Linked DNA regions of Coturnix japonica. The main gene of each other region encodes a partner of the protein of the gene in region 2 in a complex. Links are inferred from orthologs where the notes say so. Each region holds a gene or a part of one and is shown on either strand. Other genes may lie near its edges. The genes, in order: LRRTM2 and NRXN1.

Region 1 (4,534 bases), on a different chromosome or scaffold from region 2:
GCCAGATTACGCAACCTTCACGTGGGAGGAACCTACCAACAGGCATGGATGCGAAAAAGCAGAAGCCTTCCAAAAGGTACCCAAATTTGGCCACTCGGTAATAGTGCAAAGAGTGGCACAGCAGGGAACTAATTTTTCATCTCGGAGCTTTTTCAATTTTCTTAAATGACACCTTAGGAACATTCCTTAAAAGACTGTGTTATCATATTTATGCGCTATTAACATTCAGATCAGCGCTGGGGTCAGGACAGTGCACCAGATGAGTGCTGAGCAGCACAGCTACAGGCACGTCGCTGCTGTACTCCCCCAAGGCAACGGGCGGCTCAGGCTGGATTTCGGCTGCGTTCTTCCTGCACAGTGAATATTAACTATGGAGAAACTCTCGGAATAGGTCCGTGTCATTTCTTTACATGTGTTCCTTTCAGCCTGGAGCAAATGCTGAAATATTTACCGTGACAGAACAATTTAACACATTCACCTAGCACTGCCCCGTTTATCATTAAAAATAGTTAGGTTACTTATTTTTCTGTTCAGCTTTTGCCTTCCTTTGTGCTTTGTGTTCCCTCCATTTTACTTAACACCTCCCCTGTTGGGACAGCCACGGGTTGAGCACTGCAGCCAGGGACACAGCTCAAGTGTAGAACAAAGGAAGGAAAGCAGGGAGAAACCAGCAAGGCTGAGCTTAAATAAGGAACCAAAGTTTAATAATGAAGCTAAATGACCACGGACTTCTCAGAACCTCCTCTGGCACAATCCATCTCCATCCCTGTCAGCATGGGGAATTTGCTATTCTCAGCTCAGCTCCGTCCCGAGGTCATCACTGACACCTCCCTGCCACAGGGCAAACATCACCGAGCACCTCGTGCTGTGCGTCTCAAGGTGACAACAAAGTCCCACGGGAGAGTCTGCTCTGGACAGTGAGAGCCGCGATGTCCCAGCCTGCAGCCCAGGACCAGGCTGTGGCCCTGCAGGGCTGCTGGCACTACAGCACAGCTCAGGACTGTGCATGCTGGATGCAGCTCCTGCCATCACCATGGGTCCCAGCCCCTGTTCAAGGACTGTGAGCTGCAGGGAACCCCAGCTGTAAACGCAACCGGCTCTTCTGTATGCAGCAATAAGCGACACAAAAGCCAGGGTATAAAAAAAACAAAATTAAGATGGATTTCCTTGTTTCATAACTGCACGCTGTCAAGCAAGATTCCAATTAATTTTTTTTTTTCCTGTGCTTTAACGTAAGCTTTGCTTTCTCCCGACATTTCCCAGCACTCCAAACACATTTCTCACTGCAGGGACTCTGGGGCGCACTGCCGTCCCAAAAAGCACTGCCCTGCACTGCCCTGTGCTCCGCAGGGACCTCCAGCCGCCCCTCCTCCCTGCACAGTGCTGCTAATCAGCGCCCTCAGTCCAAGTGGGGCACACTTCACAGCCCTGAGCATCCCCAGTGCAGCCAGGCTGGACAGGCAGCCGGCAGCATTGAGGCTCCAGCTGCAGCTCTGTGCTGCCCTCAGTGCCAGCCCAACGCAGCCAGCAGGAATGCAGGGGGGGAGCGGGGCGGCGCGCGGCTCTCCTGCTCCTCACATCGCCGGGACGAAGGGCTCCGACAGTTGATTTTTTTCCCCCTCCTCAATCAGTGGTCTCAAACGCGACCACAGTATGCAGCACAATGCTTTAAAACAGCAAAGCTTCTGGAAAACCCAAACAAAAGGAACGTCACCGGGTGACGTCAGCCTATATACAGCCCTGCACGGTCGCAGCGCATAAGCAAACCCATTCTTGTGCCGCTTCCCTGAAAAGCTTTTCAGTAAATGCACTCATGCTACTCCAGGAGCTTCTCTCAGCAATAAGCCACCCATCTGCCATCAACAAGTTAGGACTAAAGGAACCCACAGCTGCGGAAAAAGAAAACGTGAGCTTCAATTAAACAGCCGAGCAGCCGCCGAGGAAGAAAACTTCTATTAAGCATCGACTTACAAACTGCAGCCCTGTCGGAGGAGATCACGCCGGCGCTTCCAAAAGGGATATTCTAAGCAAGCACGGTGGATTCAATTTTGCACTAATATCAAAGGACCCTAACGCGGTAAATTATTCACAGGCTGTCTCGCATTAGAGCCTTTCACAGACTCACCGTGTTGAGTCTCAAACTACGACTGAATGCAACCTCCAATGTACTCAAAAGAATGGGTAAGTGTGTGCCTTTCTCTCTCCCTTGTCTGATGAATGATGGCTGTGTGTGAAGGCAGCGGCGAGGTGCTTCAGCCCGCTTCGCTGGGGTGAGCCTTGCGAGAGGAATGTGTTCTGATTGTGACGCTGTAACCCTCCGTAATGCCGATAAAGACTCGTCCTAAGTGTAATAGCCGGTATTCTGTGTGTAGTACTAAGTTGTTTCTTGCATTTAGAATAAGCTTTTCGGAAATGCATGGAAATGTTATCTGCAGTGAAATCTTCCACCGTGATGTTCAAAGTATACTGATAAGGATATCCTATCTTGTTGTTTTCCTAAATTATATTCTGCAGGCTTACATTTCAAGTGGCCATTAGGGGCTCGTATGCTGGCAGCACTATATGCAATGAGCATGGTTTTAAAAATGCTGCCTGCCTTGGGCATGGCTTGTCCACCAAAATGTCGCTGTGAGAAGCTACTGTTTTACTGTGACTCTCAGGGGTTTCACTCAGTGCCAAACACCACTGAAAAGGGCTCTCTAGGTTTGTCACTGAGGCACAATTTTATTACTGAACTTGAAAGGGATCAATTTGCGAGCTTCAGTCAACTTACTTGGCTTCACTTAGATCATAATCAAATTGCAACAGTCAGAGAAGATTCTTTTCAAGGACTGTATAAACTTAAGGAATTAGTCTTAAGTTCCAACAAAATCTTTCATTTGCCCAACACCACTTTTAGCCAGCTGCTTAACCTGCAGAATTTGGACCTCTCTTTTAATCAGTTGTCCTCTCTGCACCCCGAGCTGCTCTACGGCCTCCGCAAGCTGCAGACCTTGCATCTGCGCTCCAACTCCCTGCGGACGATCCCCGTCCGCCTGTTCTGGGACTGCCGTAGCCTGGAGTTCCTGGATCTGAGCACAAACCGCTTGCGAAGTTTGGCTCGCAACGGCTTTGCGGGATTAATCAAGCTGAGGGAGCTGCACCTAGAGCACAACCAGCTGACAAAGATTAATTTTGCTCATTTCCTCCGGCTCAGCAGCCTGCACACGCTCTTCTTGCAGTGGAACAAAATTAGCAACTTGACGTGTGGGATGGAGTGGACCTGGGGCACCTTAGAAAAGCTCGATTTGACTGGAAACGAGATCAAAGCCATCGACCTAACAGTTTTTGAAACTATGCCTAACCTTAAAACCCTCCTCCTGGATAACAACAAGCTCAGCACGCTGGACTCCAAGATCCTGCGCTCGCTGCCATCACTCAGCACCGTGGGGCTCTCGGGCAATCTGTGGGAATGCAGCGCCCGGATCTGTGCGCTGGCCGCCTGGCTGGGCGCCTTCCGGGGCCGCTGGGAGCACCCCATCCTCTGCCACGGCCCCGACCACGCCCAGGGAGAGGACATCCTGGACGCCGTGCACGGCTTCCAGCTCTGCTGGAACGCATCCACTGCCGCCCCGTCCGCGGCGCCGACGGACGCTCCCACCACCGAGTACACGAAAGGAATCAGCTCCTCTCATTTCCATATGGGAGACAAAGAAATCCCCACCACGGCAGGCATGGTCGTCACCACCGAGGAACCCTTCCCGGAGCCAAACAATGCCATCTTCACTCAAAGGGTAATTACAGGGACAATGGCTTTATTGTTTTCTTTCTTTTTTATCATTTTTATAGTGTTCATCTCCAGGAAATGCTGCCCTCCCACATTAAGAAGAATTAGGCAGTGCTCAATGATTCAAAACCACAGGCAGCTCCGATCCCAAACGCGGCTACATATGGCAAACATGTCAGACCAAGGACCGTACAACGAGTACGAACCCACCCACGAAGGACCCTTCATCATCATTAACGGCTACGGACAATGCAAGTGTCAGCAGCTGCCATATAAAGAATGTGAAGTATAATACCTACAATTAAAGCAGATAAGTAACCTATTTTAAAATGGTAGGGGACCTACAGCAGAGTCTAATTTTTACAGATGCCGACACAAAGCCTAATTTTCCAAGCTACTCAATGGAAGAATCGTTTCTGGAGTGGTGTGGTATTTTTAAGTTGTTTTTTTTTTAAATAAATCCATGATATTTTCAGTGTTAAGGAAGCAATGATCACGTTCAACTTGCACTCCTAATGTTTAAAAGTCTAAAAAGATGCTCACCTCAAACTATGTAAAACGTTCTGTGTTATGTAACTCTCCGGCTGTGTGTACCATTTATACCCAAGTCTCCACTCTCCACTTTCCCCAGTAAAATCAGCCCGGGTGGAAGGAGGGAGGATGTCAGCACAGAGACCTGCAGAGGAACATACACTGCATTTGTTCCCCTGCAGCTGTGCGATGCCAAACATCCCAGCTGGCTCTGCTCAGTTCAGAGGCACACTGGAG
Region 2 (4,282 bases):
AGCTCAAAAATGTATGAAAGGGACAGAGCACCCAGCAGGGACTGGCAGGATCTGCTGTATGTGGCACACCTACTGGTTTATTTTCATGGGGTGAGGAAGACTTGCAATGGTTTCTTAGAAGGCTTTTTGAAAATTCCAAACTGCATTTTTCTCTGCCACCTGGTTTCTTTGGTGGCTGATATTCTCTGTTCTGGCAAGGAAAATCCAATTCAAGCCGGCTCTGATGCTGACATTATTCACAATGCAGATCAGTTAATCCCAGGTGTTAGTCCTCTGAAATGGGCTGCAGTATTTTACGTATGTTTACTCAGACACACTTATTTAAAAGGACACTCCTCATTTTAAAATTAATACATATGCCATAGTTCATTCCCTTGCTTTAAAGCAGTCTCTGCATTCAAACCACTTCAGCAGAGAGGCTCCCCTCTCTTTTCTTCCTCCAAGCCGCGCAGTGTTTTCTAGGAGAAGTGTGCAAGCAGAGATCTGATGGAGGAGAGGATCTCCGACACCTCCCTCCCCTCAGCCAGCAGCACTCAGGCAGAACAGCACGGCCAGAGCTGCCAACCACCTTGCCGGGTGCTGGGTGCTGCGTGTGGGTATGCGTCTGCTGCGGGGAGAGGGGGCAGGGATGTGCCTGCCGGGGCAAAACCTGCACACACCTCGGCTGCCTGCACCTGACACATTCCAAGCCGCTAAGTCACCTCCTACTCTCTCTTTATATTTAATTTCATTCCTCTAAATGTCAACACGTTTATTTTTATTATTTGTCACATGCCAGGCGGGCAAGAGCAGCGAAAGGGAAGCAAGAAGAATCCCTAGAGGTTAGAAGAACTCCCAAACCCATCTGGCAGAGGCCAGCCGTGCTCAATCACCACCGGGCACTGCAGGGCATCGGCGTGCCCCATGGTTTTCCCCTTCTGATACCGCTGCCAGCAGTTTTCCGGCAGCCCCCCACCCCCAAAAAACGCGGTGCCCATTAGAGCTCGTCGAGGGAAGCAGGCAACCCCGGCCCCCAGCGGGAGCGTTTGGGGCATATCGGCGCCGTCGGGAGAGCTGCCGGCGGCGGGCAGGCACCGCTTCAGCACCACGAACAGCTCCGCCCTGCGCGGCCCGACGGGGCGGCGGCTCCGCGGCTGCCGCCTGCGCCCGGGGCTCCCCGCATTGGTGGGGGACGGGGGGGCTGAACGCGAGTGGGAGCACCAGGGATGCCCCGGGGGACGGGAGGGTAGTGCGACCGTACGGTGGAGGGAGGGAGAGACCAAGAGGGTGCGGCGAGAGAAAGGGATCGGCTGGCTGTCCGTGTGCCGAGGGGGGGAGGGGCGGGGCGGGGGACCGCAGGTGGGCGCGTGGCCCAAGGGTGAGGGATGAGTGGGGAGGGAACGCGCGGGTGTTCAGGGAAAGCAGTAGCTTGCAGGTGCCGCGAGGCAGGAGCGAGCGCGCCCGCGTGCACGGGTGCGTGAGAGCGCGTGTGTGTGTGTCTGTGTGTGGGGGGGTGCGAGCGCGCCGCCGAGCGTGCAGAGCGATCCCTACAGGTGTCCGCGGAGAGCATCCGAGTGGGGATCCCTCCAGGAGAGCCGCCCCGCCGCCGGCTGCGGTGCCGCCCGGCCCCCGCCCGCGGTGCGGCAGCGAGAGGGGAAAAGGGAGAAAGAAATGAATGACAGCGATAATGAAAGAAAATAAAGGGAGAGGGTGAAGGCAGAAAGATGGAAAGATTGAAGAGGATAGAAGGAAGACCCGAGGAAATAAATAATAATAATAAAGCCACAATTGCTTATTTATCACTACCGATATCCATACAGTCAGTACACAACACGGTCTCGCCATCTCCAAAGCAGAAGGACACTGTCATTTCCAAGAGGGGACGATTTGGTCATGTAACATACCTCAACCGGGGTCTCAACTGCCAGCCGATTCCCCTCCCCTCCCGCCTCCCCCCCGGCACTGTATGTGTGCGCACATGCATGTAGTGAGAAATATACACAAAGCAGCACTAACGGAGCAGCGCCTTCAGCGCCTCACCAGTGCATCAATATCCTTCCCCCACCTCTCCATAACCCTATATATATATATATATATATATATTATTATTATTTTTTCCTTTAAAAACGATGATTTGATCCCAGGTACCCCGATGGAGCCTTTCCAAACGGGCGAGAGGGAGCACCCCGAGGTCAATAAATCTCGGGCTAACGGCAGGTCGCGGCACGCACCGCCCCGGCACGATCTTCATTGTGCCCAGCGCTCGGCATTGTCTCCGGAGCGGGGAAGCCCGGAGAGTTCGCAAATTACCGTTTGAAAAGAAAGGAGCTGGAAAACAACCTTGCTGCAGCCAAAGGGGGAAGCGCTCCGATTCAAAAGCAGACTTAGCGGCATCATTAATCTTTTCCCTCCGTTTCTACGTAATTTCTAGAATCAAATTCTTTCCTAGGCGGCCGCAATGATCGATTTTGCTACCTCTCCAGCCTGCAGACGTATTTATTTTAATACGCTTGTGATAGAATTTCTCCTCCTTCAAAAATGCACACCATCAGCAGGAACCCGCGCGGTTCCGAACGCACCAAGGCAGCCGCCTGCCCTCTTTCTTCTCCCTCACAATAGCAAATGTCCCAAATTGCCCATGCACTTCCTGCACAAGCCCCTCGCCCATCCCAGCCCGCCGCCAGCACACAGCGATCCCATGGCGATACGCATCCCCATCGCTTCGCGATGCACCCGAGCAGCTCCCGCGAGGGAAAACATGCAGCACATTGATTCATCCCTCCGCTCACACGGATACAACCCCCCACCCGCTTTGGCACGGGAGGAATAGCCGCATCCAACCTTTAACTTCTCCCTCCGCTCCTCCATCTCTGCTCCCCGCCATCTACCTTCCCACAACGCCGCATGCGAACCCACCAGCCTCTCGCGCCTCCTTCTCCTCTTCCTCCTCCTTCCGCAGCGGCACAGCGGGGCTCGTCCTCCCCGGCACCGCTCTGCCCGCACCGCGGACACGCCTTACCTGCGCGGGGTGCCGCGGGCCGGGGCAGGCGCGGCCGGAGCTGCCTCTGCCGCTCGCCGACGGAGCGGGCGCTGCTGCGGGTGCGCGGCGGCGGCAGCGGGCGGGGGCGGCCGCCGGGAGCGGGGGGCGGTGCCGCCGCGTGACGCCGCCGCGCCCGTCTGCCCGCCGGGGGCGGTGCCGCGCTCGCTGCAGACCCCGGCCCGCCCCGCCCCGGGCCCGCCGCGCCCCGAGGCTCTGCACTGCAGCGGGCACGGCCCGGAGAGGTGCGCGCCGCCGAGGACGAAGCGTTGACTTGGTGCTCTCCCATCTGCTTCGCTGGCTGGGGCATCTCTGCCGGCTCCATCCCCGCCACTCCGCTGCTTTGCGTGGGGTGTGCTGCTTGGTTGGATGGTTCTAGAGCCGAAGCTTTCTGGTGTATGCGTTGGCCTGTGGGATAATACAGGTGATGACTTCTAACTGAAGGATACCTTCCGGGCCACACGGGGAGTCTGTTGGAAAGTCTGGGTTCTGTCTGGCATTGTGTTAAACCTGTTTGAATGTATGTTGTTGCCCAGTGCTCACAAACTGTTGAGAAAAATTTAGGGACTCTTGAGATGGTTGGGTTGAGCCACCTGGAAGGCACTGTGTCATATCAAACACATCCAGTTGTGTCCAGATGGTGGCCTGCAGTCTTTGTACTCAATGGCCAGGAGAAGGGTGCTGGCTGGGAGCTGCCTGTACCCCAGCCAAGGTTCTTACAACTCTTCGGACTCCGGAATGATGCTGTCACACTCAAGGAATCACAAGAGCACCCCCAGCATCCCTTTCTATTAAGGTGTGTGCAGCCATACTTTTTGTTTTCCAAGCTGAAAACAACACATAGTGATTTAGTTTTGAGCTGAAAACTACAGAACTGTGGTAAAAAGCCCTCGCTCTCCCAGCTCAGTCGCAGAGGAGTTAGCCTTATGATCTTCTTTAATGAATCAGGCATCCTCACAGATAATAAGTTTGGTGAAATAACCAAGCAACAAGAATAAAAGCTTGCTAGACATGCTACATATCTTCAGTACGTGTAGCATCATCAAACTTCCTTTTTATTCAGCCAGATGATACCCATATCCAGTTATTTTCAAATAAAGAGTGAGATTTTCTCTTGACAATTCTAATAACTTGACCTGTGCAAACAGAACAAGGAGCAAATCTCTCTCCTGCTATGAAAAGAATATAAATTATAGGCTTCAGCAATAACAAAAAGGGAAACACTTTTTTACAGGAGCAAAATTGCAAACTGATAAAAATTAGTAC

What was found.
Region 1: the proteins of NRXN1 (region 2) and LRRTM2 are in contact, whole or in part, in a crystal structure (PDB 5Z8Y), measured with the Homo sapiens proteins. The link is inferred for Coturnix japonica from reciprocal best matches to the Homo sapiens genes NRXN1 and LRRTM2. Residues at the interface, in NP_001317021.1 of Homo sapiens: Leu139, Val158, Thr160, Arg236, Gln237, Leu238, Thr239, Ile240, Asn242; in NP_056379.1 of Homo sapiens: Asp343, His344, Gln346, Gly347, Glu348, Leu351, Asp352, Ala353, Gly356, Phe357.

Annotation. Positions count from the first base shown.
Region 1 is NC_029528.1:14,091,970-14,096,503, reverse strand, and holds the start of LRRTM2 (leucine-rich repeat transmembrane neuronal protein 2), read left to right. Parts: upstream 1-1,438; 5' UTR 1,439-2,151; coding exon of another isoform or gene 2,152-2,177; coding exon 2,178-2,181; intron 2,182-2,514; coding exon 2,515-4,058; 3' UTR 4,059-4,534. UniProt on the Homo sapiens protein: Involved in the development and maintenance of excitatory synapses in the vertebrate nervous system. Regulates surface expression of AMPA receptors and instructs the development of functional glutamate release sites.
Region 2 is NC_029518.1:8,251,536-8,255,817, reverse strand, and holds the start of NRXN1 (neurexin-1), read right to left. Parts: upstream 3,091-4,282; 5' UTR 2,999-3,090; exon of another isoform or gene 2,896-2,998; intron 2,838-2,895; exon of another isoform or gene 2,821-2,837; intron 1-2,820.